Linked DNA regions of Saccharomyces cerevisiae S288C. The main gene of each other region encodes a partner of the protein of the gene in region 4 in a complex. Each region holds a gene or a part of one and is shown on either strand. Other genes may lie near its edges. The genes, in order: SKI6, RRP40, RRP6 and RRP45. A codon is read from its position in the direction of its gene.

Evidence for each region.
Region 1: the proteins of RRP45 (region 4) and SKI6 are in contact, whole or in part, in a crystal structure (PDB 5OKZ), measured with the Saccharomyces cerevisiae proteins. Residues at the interface, in NP_010566.1 of Saccharomyces cerevisiae: Thr97 (codon at 2,781), Glu99 (codon at 2,787), Asp100 (codon at 2,790), Val102 (codon at 2,796), Leu103 (codon at 2,799), Ser105 (codon at 2,805), Arg106 (codon at 2,808), Glu109 (codon at 2,817), Lys110 (codon at 2,820), Arg114 (codon at 2,832), Ser115 (codon at 2,835), His191 (codon at 3,063), Thr206 (codon at 3,108), Glu207 (codon at 3,111), Asn209 (codon at 3,117), Ile210 (codon at 3,120), Lys211 (codon at 3,123), Asn215 (codon at 3,135), Glu217 (codon at 3,141), Asp232 (codon at 3,186), Leu239 (codon at 3,207), Arg243 (codon at 3,219), Glu244 (codon at 3,222), Val245 (codon at 3,225), Val246 (codon at 3,228), Gln247 (codon at 3,231), Val248 (codon at 3,234), Ser249 (codon at 3,237), Lys250 (codon at 3,240), Ala251 (codon at 3,243); in NP_011711.3 of Saccharomyces cerevisiae: Arg95 (codon at 2,695), Arg96 (codon at 2,698), Leu98 (codon at 2,704), Glu99 (codon at 2,707), Thr102 (codon at 2,716), Ser103 (codon at 2,719), Val105 (codon at 2,725), Arg106 (codon at 2,728), Met107 (codon at 2,731), Lys110 (codon at 2,740), Phe155 (codon at 2,875), Asp156 (codon at 2,878), Val190 (codon at 2,980), Glu194 (codon at 2,992), Lys195 (codon at 2,995), Leu196 (codon at 2,998), Ser197 (codon at 3,001), Leu198 (codon at 3,004), Leu199 (codon at 3,007), Leu200 (codon at 3,010), Val201 (codon at 3,013), Glu202 (codon at 3,016), Asp203 (codon at 3,019), Lys204 (codon at 3,022), Ile205 (codon at 3,025), Pro206 (codon at 3,028), Leu207 (codon at 3,031), Asp208 (codon at 3,034), Leu210 (codon at 3,040), Glu211 (codon at 3,043).
Region 2: the proteins of RRP45 (region 4) and RRP40 are in contact, whole or in part, in a crystal structure (PDB 5OKZ), measured with the Saccharomyces cerevisiae proteins. Residues at the interface, in NP_010566.1 of Saccharomyces cerevisiae: Lys3 (codon at 2,499), Asp4 (codon at 2,502), Ile5 (codon at 2,505), Glu6 (codon at 2,508), Ser8 (codon at 2,514), Ala9 (codon at 2,517), Ser10 (codon at 2,520), Glu11 (codon at 2,523), Phe14 (codon at 2,532), Ile15 (codon at 2,535), Glu17 (codon at 2,541), Ala18 (codon at 2,544), Gln21 (codon at 2,553), Tyr23 (codon at 2,559), Arg24 (codon at 2,562), Leu25 (codon at 2,565), Gly27 (codon at 2,571), Ser89 (codon at 2,757), Gln90 (codon at 2,760), Lys226 (codon at 3,168); in NP_014499.2 of Saccharomyces cerevisiae: Val75 (codon at 2,782), Ile77 (codon at 2,788), Ser87 (codon at 2,818), Asn90 (codon at 2,827), Phe91 (codon at 2,830), Gly116 (codon at 2,905), Leu118 (codon at 2,911), Leu150 (codon at 3,007), Glu151 (codon at 3,010), Asp152 (codon at 3,013), Gly153 (codon at 3,016), Met154 (codon at 3,019), Ile155 (codon at 3,022), Asp157 (codon at 3,028), Leu201 (codon at 3,160), Ser202 (codon at 3,163), Thr204 (codon at 3,169), Leu205 (codon at 3,172), Tyr208 (codon at 3,181), Arg209 (codon at 3,184), Ile234 (codon at 3,259).
Region 3: RRP45 (region 4) and RRP6 share a complex: the UniProt entries of both Saccharomyces cerevisiae proteins name them as parts of the RNA exosome complex.

Annotation. Positions count from the first base shown.
Region 1 is NC_001139.9:886,470-890,337, forward strand, and holds SKI6 (exosome non-catalytic core subunit SKI6), read left to right. Parts: upstream 1-2,412; coding exon 2,413-3,153; downstream 3,154-3,868. Other genes in the region: XKS1 (xylulokinase), read right to left, coding at 1-1,406; FYV8 (Fyv8p), read right to left, coding at 3,264-3,868. UniProt on the Saccharomyces cerevisiae protein: Non-catalytic component of the RNA exosome complex which has 3'->5' exoribonuclease activity and participates in a multitude of cellular RNA processing and degradation events.
Region 2 is NC_001147.6:52,999-56,780, forward strand, and holds RRP40 (exosome non-catalytic core subunit RRP40), read left to right. Parts: upstream 1-2,559; coding exon 2,560-3,282; downstream 3,283-3,782. Other genes in the region: NOP8 (Nop8p), read left to right, coding at 100-1,554; lumazine synthase RIB4, read right to left, coding at 1,597-2,106; tRNA methyltransferase PPM2, read left to right, coding at 3,454-3,782. UniProt on the Saccharomyces cerevisiae protein: Non-catalytic component of the RNA exosome complex which has 3'->5' exoribonuclease activity and participates in a multitude of cellular RNA processing and degradation events.
Region 3 is NC_001147.6:324,449-329,808, forward strand, and holds RRP6 (exosome nuclease subunit RRP6), read left to right. Parts: upstream 1-2,383; coding exon 2,384-4,585; downstream 4,586-5,360. Other genes in the region: PHO80 (Pho80p), read left to right, coding at 801-1,682; ALG6 (dolichyl-P-Glc:Man(9)GlcNAc(2)-PP-dolichol alpha-1,3-glucosyltransferase), read left to right, coding at 4,969-5,360. UniProt on the Saccharomyces cerevisiae protein: Nuclear-specific catalytic component of the RNA exosome complex which has 3'->5' exoribonuclease activity and participates in a multitude of cellular RNA processing and degradation events.
Region 4 is NC_001136.10:1,018,255-1,022,436, forward strand, and holds RRP45 (exosome non-catalytic core subunit RRP45), read left to right. Parts: upstream 1-2,492; coding exon 2,493-3,410; downstream 3,411-4,182. Other genes in the region: RNH202 (Rnh202p), read left to right, coding at 1,114-2,166; PHM6 (Phm6p), read right to left, coding at 3,753-4,067. UniProt on the Saccharomyces cerevisiae protein: Non-catalytic component of the RNA exosome complex which has 3'->5' exoribonuclease activity and participates in a multitude of cellular RNA processing and degradation events.

The DNA.
Region 1 (3,868 bases), on a different chromosome or scaffold from region 4:
CTTGCGTTTGAATCCGAAAGCAGGGGAGATATTCTTACCCTGCAACTTAAAGCCTGTGATTCTACAATATTTTTGGCATCGTGCCTCTTGTCTTTGAACTTGGCCACCTCTCTTTCAATCATACCCGTTTTTGGATTGAAGATAACCCTTTTGTTTATGGCTTTTACGCTAGGAACGATCTCCCCCAGAGGAAAATATACACCTAATTCATTTTCACTACTTTCTGAGTCATCTAGCACAGCTTGATTAAAAAGAGTCCAATCGTTAGTCTTCTCATAATTATTTTCCCGTTCTTTGTTTAACTCGTCTCTTATCCTCTCCCTTGCCAAAGAACCATTACAATAACAAATCATACCCATATAATGGTTTGGCAGAGTTGGATGAATGAAAAGATGATAGTTCGGAGAGGGGTGATACTTATCGGTGACCAGAAGAACTGTAGTACTTGTTCCTAGGGAAACGAGAACGTCATTCTTCCGCAGGGGTAAAGAACATATAGTGGCTAAATTATCCCCAGTCATGGGAGAGACCTTGCAGTTTGTATTGAAACCGTACTTCTCAATAAAATATTTACAGATGGTACCCGCTATCAAATTTTTCATGGGTGCTCTCATTAATTTTTGTCTGATAGTTTTATCCTTAGAAGAACTATCAATTAGATGTAGTAGCTCATCACTGAATTTTCTTTCACGTATATCATAAAGGTTCATACCACAGGCATCTGCCTCCTCTAATTCAACAAGATGGCCCACTAAGATAGAAGTCAAAAAATTAGACACTAAAGAAATGGTCTTTGTTTTTTCGTAAGCTTCTGGTTCTAATTGTGCAATTTTCAGAATTTGAGGACCAGTAAATCTAAAATGGGCTCTGGACCCTGTTAATTGAGCCATTTTTTCAGGCCCACCTATGCACTCTTCAAACTCTTGACATTGCTTTGCAGTACTGTGGTCTTGCCAATTGGGGGCGGTTTGCCTTGCAAATGCTACAGAGCTCACGTAGTGCAATAAATCTTTTTCCGGTTTCTTATTCAATTGCTCTAACAGAGATTCGGCTTGGGAGGACCAGTAGACAGACCCGTGCTGCTGGCAGGACCCTGAGACGGCCATAACTTTGTTCAATGGAAATTTAGCCTCGCGATATTTCGAGAGAACCAGATCTAGAGCCTCTAACCACATGGCTACGGGACATTCGATAGTGTCGCCGTGTATATAGACACCCTTCTTTGTGTGATAATGCGGAAGATCCTTTTCAAATTCCACTGTTTCTGAATGGACAATTTTTAGGTCCTGGTTAATGGCGAGACATTTCAGTTGTTGGGTCGAAAGATCAAACCCAAGATAGTATGAGTCTAAAGACATTGTGTTGGAAACCTCTCTTGTCTGTCTCTGAATTACTGAACACAACATTAAAGTACTAATCTCATCCTCCTTTTGTTTTTCTCGAGAGGGCCCCCTTATTCGTCCGCCTGAGATTGCATTGGCCGAATTGAAAAGTGACAGTTATGCACCTCAGCGGCTATTCCCTGCGTCGCTTGCTGAAGATTGAGGATTATAGGAAGTAGTAAGCTGGAAATGGTAATTTGTAAAAAGAAAATTTCTAATACTGTGACAATGTTATTAAATCGGGGTTGTTTTTGTTTGGGGCGGCCAGCGGAATAATTTGTTTTCAAGGACAGCAGAAGCTCAGAAGAACAAAATCTCCGTGATCTTTTAAACTTTTTTCCATTCTGATGGAATAATGGTCTTGATCCCCTAAATATTTCCTTTTTTATTGCAATTATGATAGAAATTAATAGTAGTCTATGCTGGATGATATATATATCTCTTTTGAGCTTGCTTCAAATTTTTTCCCGTTATAATGATGAGTGTTTTGCTTATTAAGGGTCTAGGACATTTCTATCAGTTTCTATACCAAAAGAAGAAAAAGTGGAGAATTGTTTGTTTATTTTAATATTTTGTTCTTTAGTTTTAAAAATTCAGAAGAGAAAAAAATTTTATTTGTCACAAGGAAATAAAACATAAACAAAAAAGAAAAATTAAGATTTGCAATTCTGCCGCTTAAGCAAAAGTAGATCATTCACTGGAATATATATATATAAACGCATTTATAATCTTGTAACGTGCACTCAATTTAGCTACGAAAGCCAACCAGCAAGGAACCTTTTATTTGAGTAGGTACATTTACATCTTCGGGTAACGCGGTGAAATTGAAAAATTTTAAGGCATTAATAATTGAAAAGCTAGAAGAAATGGATGAATGAATGACATTGCGAACCATTGTGCAATGAACATCATCCAAAAGAAAACATCATTTACACATATTTTCTTTCCAGGGTCCCACTGGTAAAATCTATTAACATATAAAAAGATTTACAAAAAAACTTTAGTGCCATAACTACAGCAGGATCATCATATGTCAAGACTAGAAATATACTCGCCAGAAGGGCTACGTCTCGATGGACGTCGATGGAATGAACTCCGCCGTTTTGAAAGTTCCATCAACACACATCCGCACGCTGCAGACGGTTCATCCTACATGGAACAAGGTAACAACAAAATTATCACTCTTGTTAAAGGTCCAAAAGAGCCAAGATTGAAATCTCAAATGGATACCTCAAAGGCTTTATTGAACGTATCGGTAAACATTACAAAATTCTCCAAATTCGAAAGAAGTAAATCAAGCCACAAGAATGAAAGGCGTGTTCTTGAGATACAAACCTCCCTGGTGAGGATGTTTGAGAAGAATGTCATGCTGAATATCTACCCCAGAACAGTTATCGATATCGAGATCCATGTCCTTGAGCAAGATGGCGGTATTATGGGATCTTTAATCAACGGTATTACCCTCGCTTTAATAGATGCCGGTATATCAATGTTCGATTACATAAGTGGTATATCCGTCGGGCTGTACGATACTACCCCATTATTAGATACCAATTCATTAGAAGAAAATGCTATGAGTACAGTGACACTAGGTGTGGTAGGGAAGTCAGAAAAACTTTCTCTTTTATTGGTGGAAGACAAAATTCCGTTAGATAGGTTAGAGAACGTTCTTGCCATCGGCATCGCAGGTGCTCATAGGGTAAGAGATTTGATGGATGAAGAACTGAGGAAACATGCTCAGAAAAGAGTCAGTAACGCCTCTGCTAGGTAGAATAAAAAACGCCATTAATTGCCACTGTTTATATAAAAGTACATAAAAAACAGTAAAATTGAAAATTGAACGCATTTACATTTTCGTGTTTCTACCGTAAAGCAAAACGCTTACAGTTTTTTCTTACCTATTGATGCGAATAAATCCTTTGGTTTCATAGAATGCTGGAAAACTTTTCTCCTTAAGTGCGTTACATTTTGGTTGACACTAGCAACCGTGTTAATGACAGTATGCTTCTTACTCAAATCGTCCGCGTTCGCATATGCTTCCCTAACGTGACTATGCTGCTTATACTCCTCAGCTATGAAATCCTTATCCTTATTAGAGGATGATTTTAGCGTATAATTTATCCATGTTTGTATCCCCGTATCATATTCATCTAGCTCACGCTTATAATTTCTCAACTGTTCTATCTTACCGGCGTGCGAAGTCTTACTGTTCAGTAGTTTATTCATATCTAATTTCGGTAAGTTATTCTGCTGCCCCAATTTCGCCATTTCTTCAGTACTGGGTTCATGGACGCTTGTCATTTCGCCTTGAGATACTGTTCTGTTTTCACTTTTGAAAGATGCACTGCGCGCTGCCAAATCATTGGCAGTATTGTTACTATTATCATTATCTGTTGTACTATTATCGTTTCCTGCATTTAATTGTTCCTGTGCGTCCATCGGTAGAGGTGGCAAATTCGATTGGTTACCAATCAAACCGGGAACAT
Region 2 (3,782 bases), on a different chromosome or scaffold from region 4:
GATGAGCTAAAATGTCAATGTCAGTCAATTAACAAAGTATACAATAGGCCCATATCATTTTAGATTGTACCTGAAGTGAGAACTAGGTAATATACGACGATGGATAGTGTAATTCAAAAAAGAATTTTTGTCGGAAATATTTTCCATAATGCAGATGATTGTTATTCAGAACTACTAGATCGATTTGGAAAATTTGGTGATTGCCAAGATTTTCAGTTTGAAAAACACAACCACTTTGCATTTATCGATATAAGGTTTAATGATGAGGCAGATTTTAACAAGCTAAGAAAGAGCTTTAATAATGTTAAGTTTAAAGGGAACATTTTGAAGGTTGATGAAGCAAAGCCGAATTGGGAAAGCACCTGGGCGGTACAACATGCAAAGGACCTTAAAGAAGATATTATACTAAATGCTAAAATGAAAAAAAAGAATTGGCAACATTATAAGAAAATGGAAAATGTAGCGAAAAGTTGGAAAGATCATAAGGAAGTTATTGCTGGCAGAATGAGGGAGGCGCCGAGAAAAAGGAGTCAATTGAGGAACATTACATTCAGGATCAATGTCAATGGTTCATTGAAAGTTTACAAATGCTATAAGACTAAATTATGGGGTTATGAAAGGAACAAAGAATTGAATGACCTTGTGTACAAGTTTACAAATAATTTCTGGAAAAACGGATACAACCACATTGTCGATAGATTGGATTACAGTCGTGCTGTTAAAACTGTTCGATTCAAAAATGGGCTGAAACAGTTAACAGTGTCAAAAGATGAAAACGTTTGCAGTGGAGAGATGGACAGCGATGAGAATATGTCAGAAGAGGAGAAGGAGAAAAATAATGTTATTCTTAATGACCTATTAAAGGACTTTGACTTCGATAAGCCAATGACGTTGAATGATTCGGACGAGGAACTTCTGACAGAGCAACGTAAAGGAGAGGAAGAAGAAGAAGAAGAAGAAGAAAAAGAAGTAAACGCTCCCGAATACGAGAATGTTAATAAGACGAAGGACCAGAGCACCCTACCACAAGAAAAACCAGAGGAAAGGAAAGAACAGGACGAGGGCGACGGGCAGGAGGATAATGAATTTATTCCGACTTTCACCAAGGAAATTGGTCAAGGTACAATAAGCAACACTGAGACGTTAAGAAACCTATTCAACCCCAACGAGGCAGAACCTGTATCACAATTCAAATTGATTGAAGATTCTGATAATGATATTGATCATGCGAAAGATGTTGATGTGAACCAACTGGAGGAAGAAGTAAGTAAATCATCTGACACCCTAGGTTTGACATCGGCTCCCGTACCACATGTATCTAGAGATAAAGATAACAAAAATTTCTTGTTTTTCCCTCATTTGCAATCGCCATTTTTAGTAGGACAAACACAGTTGAGTAAAGTAAGGGCTCCTGGAAGAGAAACAATGCTATCGAACTGGGATGAGGAGTTCTGGGCTAACAGAGGTAATTGGACCCGTGATATGAGGCGCAAAATGAAAGATGCATTGAAGCACCGTAAGAGGAAACAATCAAAGAGCGGGCTTCTTCTATAGTGAGTATATATACATATATAGTATAGATTTCTCTGCGCTTATTCAAAAAGCATTTTTACCGAACTTAACAGCCATTTCCACTGCTGCAGCACCCCAATCTTCACCATGGTTGTGCATGGAGTGCGCTTCATCGATGCCAGCTCTGGCCAGGGCTTGTTCTTCAGTCATGCAAGTTAAGAGGCCAAAAATGACGGGCATGTCGACTTTTTCTTGTAAGTTCATCAATGCGTGAGTGGTGGAATCTGAAATGTATTCAAAGTGCATTGTACTACCTTTGATAAGTACACCAATAGGAATTACAACATCTAGCGGCTTTCCCAACTTCGCTTGTCTGTCAACAAACCTTTTTGTCCCCCAAGGTAATTCATAGGATCCAGGAACAGTTTCAATTATTATGTTATTTTCCTCGACACCAAGGGAAGCCATTCTTTCAATAGCACCTTTCACAAGAGCGTCAATAATGACACGGTTCCAACGGGCATGAATGATACCGACCCTGATTTTGGAACCGTCATAAACTTGATCTGGTTTGCCTAATCCTTTAACTGCCATACTGCGTTATACTGCGTTATACTGCGTTATACTGCGTTATACTGTTCCTTTTCATGCTTTTGAACCCACTCTCTGGGGCAATATTTCATTGTTCTCTTTTATATGGCTACTTTTCTCTTATTAACGGGGACCTCCGAAAATATCTCCGCTCCCAGAATATGTCATAGAGCCTTAAGAATTGACCTACGGGAACCTCCGAAAACCTCCCAGAGTTTTAATTATACGTCATAGAACCCCAGACCTCTTCGATGAAGTTTCGTGGAAACTAGTTCCATCCACCTCACTTAAAGTTACCTTAATGAAAGCCATCATTGTTTACTAGTAAGGGTAGTGGTGTGACCCGGACCTGATCGGCTGAAATTTTTTGGTTTAGAGAAGCATATTAAACCAACAGCACAAACGGATGCTTCAGCAGCTCATCTCCAGCATTTCGACTAACCAAGAGCATACAAGATGTCTACGTTCATATTCCCTGGTGATAGCTTTCCTGTAGACCCTACTACACCTGTTAAACTGGGCCCTGGCATATATTGTGACCCCAATACTCAAGAAATACGACCTGTTAATACAGGTGTTTTGCATGTTTCCGCTAAGGGTAAGAGTGGTGTTCAGACCGCATATATAGACTATTCTAGTAAGAGATACATTCCATCTGTAAACGATTTTGTAATCGGTGTCATTATAGGGACATTTTCAGATAGCTATAAGGTTTCGTTGCAAAATTTCTCCTCCAGTGTTTCACTATCGTATATGGCTTTTCCCAATGCTTCAAAGAAAAACAGGCCAACTTTGCAAGTGGGAGATCTAGTGTATGCGAGAGTTTGTACCGCAGAAAAGGAACTAGAAGCCGAAATAGAATGTTTTGACTCAACTACAGGACGCGATGCTGGTTTCGGGATATTGGAAGATGGTATGATCATTGACGTGAATTTGAATTTCGCACGCCAGTTGCTTTTCAATAATGACTTCCCGTTATTAAAAGTGTTGGCTGCACATACCAAGTTTGAAGTCGCCATTGGTCTCAATGGGAAGATCTGGGTTAAGTGCGAGGAATTATCTAACACTTTAGCTTGTTATAGAACCATAATGGAGTGTTGTCAAAAAAACGACACGGCAGCGTTCAAGGATATAGCAAAAAGACAGTTTAAAGAAATACTTACGGTCAAGGAGGAGTAGACTACCATGTATAATTAAAATATATAAACACATAGATATCATCAATATTTCACGTCCTTTTTTAATGTCCTTTGAAAAAGCGAAGGAAAAAAAGTTTCATCTCATCTCATCTCATCACATCTAACATATGGCCATAAAATTTCGACAACTATAGTGCACATATCTAATACGATGAAGAATCTGACCACTATAAAGCAAACGAACAAGAATGTCAAACAAGAAAGACGTAAAAAGTACGCTGATTTGGCGATTCAAGGCACAAATAACTCCTCAATTGCTTCTAAAAGATCGGTAGAGTTATTGTATTTGCCAAAACTGAGTTCGGCTAATAATTTCCAAATGGATAAGAATAATAAACTGTTGGAATATTTTAAATTCTTTGTTCCTAAGAAAATTAAAAGATCTCCCTGTATTAACAGAGGTTATTGGTTGAGGTTATTTGCCATCAGGTCAAGATTGAACTCCATCATTGAACAAACGCCACAGGATAAAAAGATAGT
Region 3 (5,360 bases), on a different chromosome or scaffold from region 4:
ACTATTTCTAATCTACTATTCGAAGAGATGTTGGATTTCTAAAAAAAAAAGAGCTCAACAACGGAAGACCGCCTATTAACCCCGAGTGTCTGTTTTTTAGTATACTCGAAGCAAACAAGAAAAGTTTGTTACTTAATTTCTGGCCTAAACAAGGTAGTGCTACCCTAGAGGAAGTACGATATCAGTACACTTTTGTATTTTTAACGAATTATGGTATTCTTTAAAATATTTAACATGCTATCGAGTTTTTCTTTCTAAAATGCGGTTTCAAAATTTGAGTCCGCTTTCTATGGAAAATATGAATGAGGCGAACGTGCTTGTACCATAGTCAGATTTTAACCCGTAGGTGAGAGCCTGAGGCTTCTGTAAACCACCTTGGAAACACATACGGGTTATAAGATTTTAACAAACAATCAGTCTCCATACTCATCCTAGGATCTCTTCTTCATTTGATGAATAAAGGATTCAAACTTCAGAAAGTTATTCAGCGTATATTGGCTTTCCTTTAATCTAATGCCCCAAGCCATCATAAATAGCCATATTACTTTGAAAGTGCTCATCCGTATACACTGCAACTTTTCTTCTTTTCTCTTTAGCCGATTATAGCTCCTACCTGTTTTTTTTTTCTTCTTAAGATTATTTATATTCCAATTTTATCATCCGTATTGTTTCCAATAGCGTTCCAGTGATCAGTTATATACTTCGAGAGGCAGATAACCTTTCTTTTTATAAGTGTTTATCAAATTTAAGTCTGCAAGCTATCATAAGACGAGGATATCCTTTGGAGACTCATAGAAATCATGGAAAGCACATCAGGAGAACGTTCCGAAAATATACATGAGGATCAAGGGATACCAAAAGTAATTCTGCCCGCTGATTTTAATAAATGCTCTAGAACTGACCTAGTGGTGCTCATATCACGAATGTTAGTATCGCTGATAGCAATCAATGAAAATTCAGCAACAAAGAAATCTGATGACCAAATTACTTTAACACGATACCATTCTAAGATTCCTCCAAACATATCAATCTTCAACTATTTCATACGACTGACAAAGTTTTCCTCTTTAGAACATTGTGTGCTTATGACATCACTCTATTATATCGATTTATTGCAAACTGTGTATCCTGATTTTACGCTTAATTCGTTGACTGCCCATAGGTTTTTATTAACAGCCACCACAGTCGCAACAAAAGGCTTATGTGATTCGTTCTCAACAAACGCCCATTATGCAAAAGTTGGAGGAGTACGATGTCACGAATTGAATATACTGGAGAACGATTTTTTAAAGAGAGTAAACTACAGAATCATTCCGCGGGATCATAACATTACGTTATGTAGTATAGAGCAAAAACAGAAAAAGTTTGTCATAGATAAAAACGCATTAGGGTCTCTCGATTTGGATTCTTATTCTTACGTTAATCGTCCAAAAAGTGGATATAATGTTCTAGATAAATACTATCGAAGAATAGTTCAGCTGGTGGGTTCCTTTAACGCTTCACCTGATAAGAGTAGAAAGGTTGATTATGTTCTCCCGCCAAATATTGATATAGTGAGTGAAAGTGGCTCCCAAACTACTCAACTAAAGGGGTCGTCATCACCCAATTCTCACTCTTCACAAAAGCGATATTCTGAGGCAAAGGACGCACATATCTATAACAAGCGATCAAAGCCAGATTAATGATTTTTCGTGGGGTATTATGAAAGCAATCATGATTGAGCAAAATTAAAACTTTCCATTTGTACATATATATATATATATATATATATATCTGTGTGTGTATAATAAGCAATTGGCCATCATTTGGCTAAAAAGTTCAAGATTTCAGGTAGTATATAAGAGAATAACTTCCCTCTTTTGCTAAAGAAGGATATGTTCTATTTCAGCCTTTTTGCATCATAAGAGCATAAGCGACAGAAAACACTTCGAGATGAGCTTGAGAACTCCATTTCAATTAACTTGATAAATACATGTAGATTCATATCATCACTGTTCTTTTCAGATACTAGTTTCAAAACTTCCTTGACAGAACCATTTCATGTTCAATAATGAAAATTACTTTCACATGTTTTAGTGGAAAAATACTGAACAATGAAATTTCAATATCGCATATAATAATTTTTGTTATCAAATATATATTTTTCGGAAGTCATATACATTAAATAATTAAAACATTATTTTTAAAAATTAAAAAAATATATTTTAGCAAATAGTTTTTACTTTTTTTTAAATGCAAAATAAGTTCACGTGATATTATTAATAATATTTTACCCAAAAATATGAGGGCATCGGAAAATTTTTCAGTAATGAATATTAATGTTCATCTGAAGATAGACGAAATAGGAACAACAAACAGCTTATAAGCACCCAATAAGTGCGTTATGACTTCTGAAAATCCGGATGTACTTTTATCTAGGGTGATAAATGTGGTGAGAGCAGCATCATCGTTAGCCAGTCAAGATGTAGACTTTTACAAGAATTTAGACAGGGGATTTAGTAAAGATCTGAAATCAAAAGCAGACAAACTTGCGGATATGGCGAATGAAATAATCCTCTCTATTGATGAGCATCATGAATCATTTGAACTTAAAGAAGAGGACATTTCTGACTTGTGGAACAACTTTGGAAACATCATGGATAATTTGTTAGAAATGTCAGACCATTCGCTGGATAAGCTGAATTGTGCAATAAACTCAAAGTCAAGAGGTTCCGATCTTCAGTATTTAGGCGAATTTTCAGGAAAGAATTTTTCTCCCACCAAAAGAGTCGAAAAACCTCAGTTGAAATTTAAAAGTCCAATTGATAACAGCGAAAGTCATCCGTTCATACCTTTATTGAAGGAAAAACCAAATGCTTTGAAGCCACTCTCTGAGAGTTTGAGGTTGGTTGATGATGATGAAAATAACCCCAGTCACTACCCCCATCCTTATGAATATGAGATTGATCATCAAGAGTATAGTCCAGAAATTCTCCAAATTAGAGAGGAGATTCCCTCAAAATCCTGGGATGATTCGGTACCAATTTGGGTAGATACAAGTACAGAACTCGAATCAATGTTGGAGGACTTGAAAAATACGAAAGAGATTGCCGTTGATCTTGAGCATCACGATTATAGGTCATACTATGGTATTGTTTGCCTCATGCAAATTAGTACAAGGGAAAGGGATTATTTAGTTGATACTCTAAAACTTCGCGAAAATTTACATATTCTGAACGAAGTGTTTACGAACCCTTCAATTGTGAAAGTTTTTCACGGTGCATTCATGGATATTATTTGGCTTCAGCGAGATTTAGGTTTGTATGTCGTTGGTCTCTTCGATACTTACCATGCGTCTAAAGCAATCGGTCTTCCTAGACATAGTTTGGCCTATCTTTTGGAGAATTTTGCCAATTTTAAAACTTCAAAGAAATATCAGTTGGCTGACTGGCGTATAAGACCGCTTTCAAAACCCATGACGGCATATGCTAGAGCAGATACTCACTTTTTACTAAATATATATGACCAGTTGAGAAACAAACTTATCGAGTCTAATAAGTTAGCAGGTGTTCTTTATGAATCAAGAAATGTCGCAAAAAGAAGGTTTGAATATTCAAAGTACAGACCACTGACACCTTCTTCAGAAGTTTATTCTCCAATCGAAAAAGAGAGTCCTTGGAAAATATTGATGTATCAGTACAACATACCACCTGAGAGGGAAGTATTAGTAAGAGAGCTATACCAATGGAGAGATCTTATTGCAAGAAGAGACGATGAATCGCCACGATTTGTTATGCCAAACCAGTTATTGGCTGCACTTGTCGCATATACACCTACTGATGTCATAGGTGTTGTTTCTTTGACCAATGGCGTAACTGAACATGTCCGCCAGAATGCAAAACTATTAGCTAATTTGATAAGAGATGCATTACGAAACATCAAGAACACCAATGAGGAAGCTACTCCCATTCCATCTTCCGAGACCAAAGCAGACGGAATATTGTTGGAGACTATAAGTGTTCCTCAAATCCGTGATGTTATGGAAAGGTTTTCGGTGTTGTGCAACAGCAATATTTCCAAGAGCCGAGCCAAGCCTGTCACTAATTCTTCTATTCTGTTGGGTAAGATTTTACCACGTGAGGAGCATGATATTGCATATAGCAAAGACGGCTTGCCAAATAAAGTGAAGACGGAAGATATCAGGATCCGAGCACAAAATTTCAAGTCTGCCTTAGCAAACTTGGAGGATATCATATTCGAAATAGAGAAACCTCTCGTTGTTCCTGTCAAGCTAGAGGAGATTAAGACAGTAGACCCTGCGAGCGCACCTAATCACTCGCCTGAGATTGATAATCTTGATGATCTTGTTGTTTTAAAGAAGAAAAACATTCAAAAGAAACAACCAGCAAAGGAAAAAGGTGTAACGGAAAAAGATGCTGTGGATTATTCAAAAATTCCGAATATCTTATCTAATAAGCCTGGCCAAAATAATAGACAACAAAAGAAAAGGAGATTCGACCCATCATCTAGCGATAGTAATGGACCAAGGGCAGCTAAAAAGAGGAGGCCTGCCGCCAAAGGTAAGAATCTGTCATTTAAAAGGTGATTATGTAAAACAAGCGTATTTTTTTATTTATAAATTATGGTAATTTTCATTTAAGACCTCTAAATTCATCTAATCGAATATCTGTGTCATGGAGTTATGGCTCCCCCATGCACACCATTTTCTCTTTTTTTGTTTCTGTGTTTCCCTTCATCTCCTTTATTATGAAAAGTACAAGTTTTATATAATTTCAACGTCGGAGGTTATCCGGAAATCTATAGTTGAATTTTTGCAGGATTATACTTCGCTCGAATATTGTGCGTGTTAAATACTCAGCGAGAACAATACTTCCAAGTTAGAAAAGGGATTTGCTCATGTTAAAGCAATGGCACTCCGAATGGACGGTGTCAGGAATTCTTTTCTTCACATCAGGCTTCGCATAGAAAATGGCCATTGGCAAAAGGTTACTGGTGAACAAACCAGCAGAAGAATCATTTTATGCTTCTCCAATGTATGATTTTTTGTATCCGTTTAGGCCAGTGGGGAACCAATGGCTGCCAGAATATATTATCTTTGTATGTGCTGTAATACTGAGGTGCACAATTGGACTTGGTCCATATTCTGGGAAAGGCAGTCCACCGCTGTACGGCGATTTTGAGGCTCAGAGACATTGGATGGAAATTACGCAACATTTACCGCTTTCTAAGTGGTACTGGTATGATTTGCAATACTGGGGATTGGACTATCCACCATTAACAGCATTTCATTCGTACCTTCTGGGCCTAATTGGATCTTTTTTCAATCCATCTTGGTTTGCACTAGAAAAGTCACGTGGCTT
Region 4 (4,182 bases):
ATCGGCAAGGTTTAATATGTCCAGTCGGAGTGTATTTTATATCTCTTTCTTTTAGAATAAGAATATCTGCTTTTATTCTTAATCAATACTACAACCTAACTACTAACTATCAACACTGTTAATTACGATTCGCTCCAACAAATTTGGTTTTGTGGATTCTTAAATTCTCGAGAAAAACTTCTAATATATCTTGTATACCAGATACTGTAGCCTTTAGCAACGATAGAATACGAACAGTTCTCTTAAAATTCGCCTATTTCTCATACCGTTGCAGATATAACTAAAGTATTGACATTCAGTGACATCTGGCGCTGATATCATTATTTAACACACGTATGTTTGCGTGGCATTGTCATTTTTAAGAGCAGAGAAAGAAACAATGAGCTACTTGAGTGTGACAAGTTGAAAAGTCCACCAATTTCACGTTGAATTAGGATTCATATATGAAATTCTAGTCATTAATTAGAATTGTAAGTTTCTGAGCTTTTTTTTCCTAGTAAATTAAACTTGTCTAATACATCCAGTTGTGATGTATTCTATATCTCAGTTCTACAGTAGCACGAAGTTTCCCGGCCTCTCTATTCAATAAATTCAGCTATCGCTGATTATCAACAGCAGCAACGAATAAAGCATAAAAGAACAGAAAAATTCTTCTACAAATTTATTCTGTAAAGATTCAGCTTCTTTCGTGAATTTCTAAGTTCATGAGGGGAATTTAAGTATGGCGTTTCTTCGTAGCGCCATTGTCTTGAGCCAAAATGGAACTCTAAAAATTTTCACGACATTTTACTAGTCAGTAAAGTGAGCATATACATATAAGAAGAAATTTCAAAAGGTAAAAAATGGAGCAACTTCCAGCTCATTATCTTTTCAATGTTGTCGATGCCATAGTTGGATTATGAAATCTCATATTCATAACCACAACGCGTTTTTTTCCTTTTAAGGCACTACAGACTCCATTCTCACAAGTTTGTCAAAAGCACGAGCGCGATGAGAATTAAAGTCAGATCTGGTTAATGATTCTGGTACAACAGCAGAAACAAATCGAGTACAAATTTAATCTTATTCTGTCGCAATAGTTGACTTTCTTTTCTGGCCTCTCGAACAAAAAGCATGACCGTTTCCAACATTGGGGGGGAAGAACGACTAATAATTTTACCAGACGATTATGAAACTTCGAAAACTATAAACACTTTTACACTGCCGCCACCTTCCAATATTACATCCAAACCTCGTATCGAGCTCTTCGAAAATATTAATGGAAAACTTTACGAAATAAGATCTTTTCAATTCGGCAAAGGGCCCTCGTATTCACATGAGGAAGATTTGGCAAATGATAAATATCACTATACTAAGGAAAATCACCCGATCAAATCAACTTTCATTGTAAATACGTCTGATCCCACCGATGGTTATGTTTTTAACTCAAGCAAAATACACTTTTGTTCTTTATACGATATTGCTTTTAGTTTGATTGGATTTTACTATAGAAACAGTGTTTCAGCAGATGAACAAGATTACTCCAATTCAAGTGATACTGGTGAAAACCAAAAAAGCAACAGCAAAACCAATGAGAAATTTCTTACGGTGCGTGATTACCATGATTTCTTAACGGATAACCATGACAAGAATTGGGAAAACATTTCTTTAAGTCGTCTCAAGAGTGGCTTAGCAAAAGTTAGTGAAACCATTGAGGAAGCTGGTGACGTCTATTACAAGATCACATCTGCAATGATAACACAATTTTTGTTAGGCAAGGTATCAAAAATTGTAGAAAACTTTCCTCCAAGTATCCCTACACTTAAAAATGCCCCAACGGAAATAAAACAGTGCTACAAGGTAGTTATGGCTACAAATCTTTTAGTTTCCCTGATTCCAAGGGCGGCCTACCATAATTTACTTACCTTTTCACCTACAATGGATAGTGGTTGCCTAAATCCGGATATAAAAGCTAGCTTCATAGAACTCGAAAACTACGAGACTACGAACGAATTACAGAATGCTGAAAGAGAATTACTGATGAAAAGTGCCATGAATGTAGGCCTAAATTCGAATGGCAGGGTTTCATTGCCAGTGAAAAAAGTTACCAAAAAAATAGTTCAAAATAAAAAACCAAAAGTAGCCATAGGAAAAGGGGCCATTGATGGATTTTTTAAACGTAAGTAGCTAGTATCATAATTAAACAGCAATTTGAATGCTATAACTCGGTGGTGATGACCTCAGTGCGAGATAATTACACAATATTGTCACTACCAACGAATGGGCTACCTTTTTTTTCCTTTCTCGAATTCAAGAAAAAATTAACAACTTTTCCCTCGATGATGTTAACAAATGTCTGAATATAAAGGAATAGGAAACGGTTGCTAGATTGTATTTACCTTACCAACTTTCAAGTTTTTTTTCTAACTTCCTAACTTTCAGTCTCGATACATTAATCAACAGGACGTAGTGATTGCAAAATTGTTCAGAATATACATTAGATTAAAAGACAAATGGCCAAAGACATTGAGATATCCGCATCCGAGTCAAAATTTATCTTAGAAGCACTGAGACAGAATTATAGGTTGGACGGCCGCTCCTTTGATCAATTTCGTGACGTGGAAATAACGTTTGGTAAAGAATTTGGTGATGTTAGCGTAAAAATGGGCAACACCAAAGTTCACTGCAGGATTAGTTGTCAAATAGCACAACCATACGAAGACAGGCCATTTGAAGGATTATTTGTAATATCTACAGAAATATCTCCTATGGCTGGTTCTCAATTTGAAAATGGAAATATCACGGGGGAAGATGAAGTTTTATGTTCAAGAATAATTGAAAAATCTGTTAGGCGGTCGGGCGCATTGGACGTGGAAGGACTATGTATCGTTGCTGGCAGTAAATGCTGGGCTGTGAGAGCTGATGTACATTTCCTGGATTGTGATGGTGGATTTATTGACGCTTCGTGTATTGCCGTCATGGCAGGATTGATGCATTTTAAGAAACCAGATATAACTGTCCATGGCGAGCAGATCATTGTTCATCCTGTTAATGAAAGAGAGCCAGTTCCACTAGGTATACTGCATATTCCAATATGTGTAACTTTTTCTTTCTTCAATCCTCAAGACACCGAGGAAAACATAAAAGGTGAGACTAACTCAGAAATTTCCATCATTGATGCAACATTGAAAGAGGAACTACTGCGAGATGGTGTATTGACGGTTACGCTAAACAAAAACCGTGAAGTGGTACAAGTTTCCAAAGCGGGTGGTTTACCAATGGATGCGTTGACGCTAATGAAATGTTGTCACGAGGCTTACAGCATTATTGAGAAAATAACTGATCAAATACTGCAGCTTTTAAAGGAGGATTCAGAAAAGAGAAACAAGTATGCAGCCATGCTTACATCTGAAAATGCCCGCGAGATCTAATATTAACGAAAAAACTGAAATAAAAGCAACGCTTATACATATACATGCATGCATTAATATATGTATATATATCGGTACGTATAGATTGTAAAATTACACTTACTACTAAAGGCAGTATGAAAGACGCCCGCAGTTTTTTTCCTACTGTTTTCTTGACTGCGGTGTTCAAAAACATAAAAATCATTAAATTACTATAAAACAAACGCATACTGCGAAGAAAAAAGGCTCGGCTATAAATGCATATGAGAAAATATTATCTTTTGCCTCCCTGCTTAATTTCTGAAGGCATGTACTATCCAAAAGAAAAATCTTGAAAGAAAACAAATCCCATTATTCTTATTATTAAAACAAAAACTTCGTCATCGTCATCACATAAAAAAGACCTACCATTGTCAAACTGTACAACAGCAACACAATAATAATGACGATGATGAGTTCCTCGAGAAACCCTAGAACGGCGTTATAACACTGTTTGAGGGTATTACTTTTTCCACTACTCTCGTGGCGCGGAAGACCTGCTTCCAAATCTACTGTGTAATCAATACACTTAACCTCCTCTCTCTCCCCTTGTGCGTCAGAAAACTCTGCCTGTCTTATTTCCTTCTCCTGTTGTCCTATTTTCAGTACATCATCGATGCACCTCGAGGTATCTTCCATCTTGGTGTCAGGTTGAAAAACAATTGCTGTCGTTTTTTTTTAGTTCAACAAGTTTGGTATGGCAGTTGACAAAAATTCTATTTGGGCTGCAATGAATCAAAGTGTACAAACATCT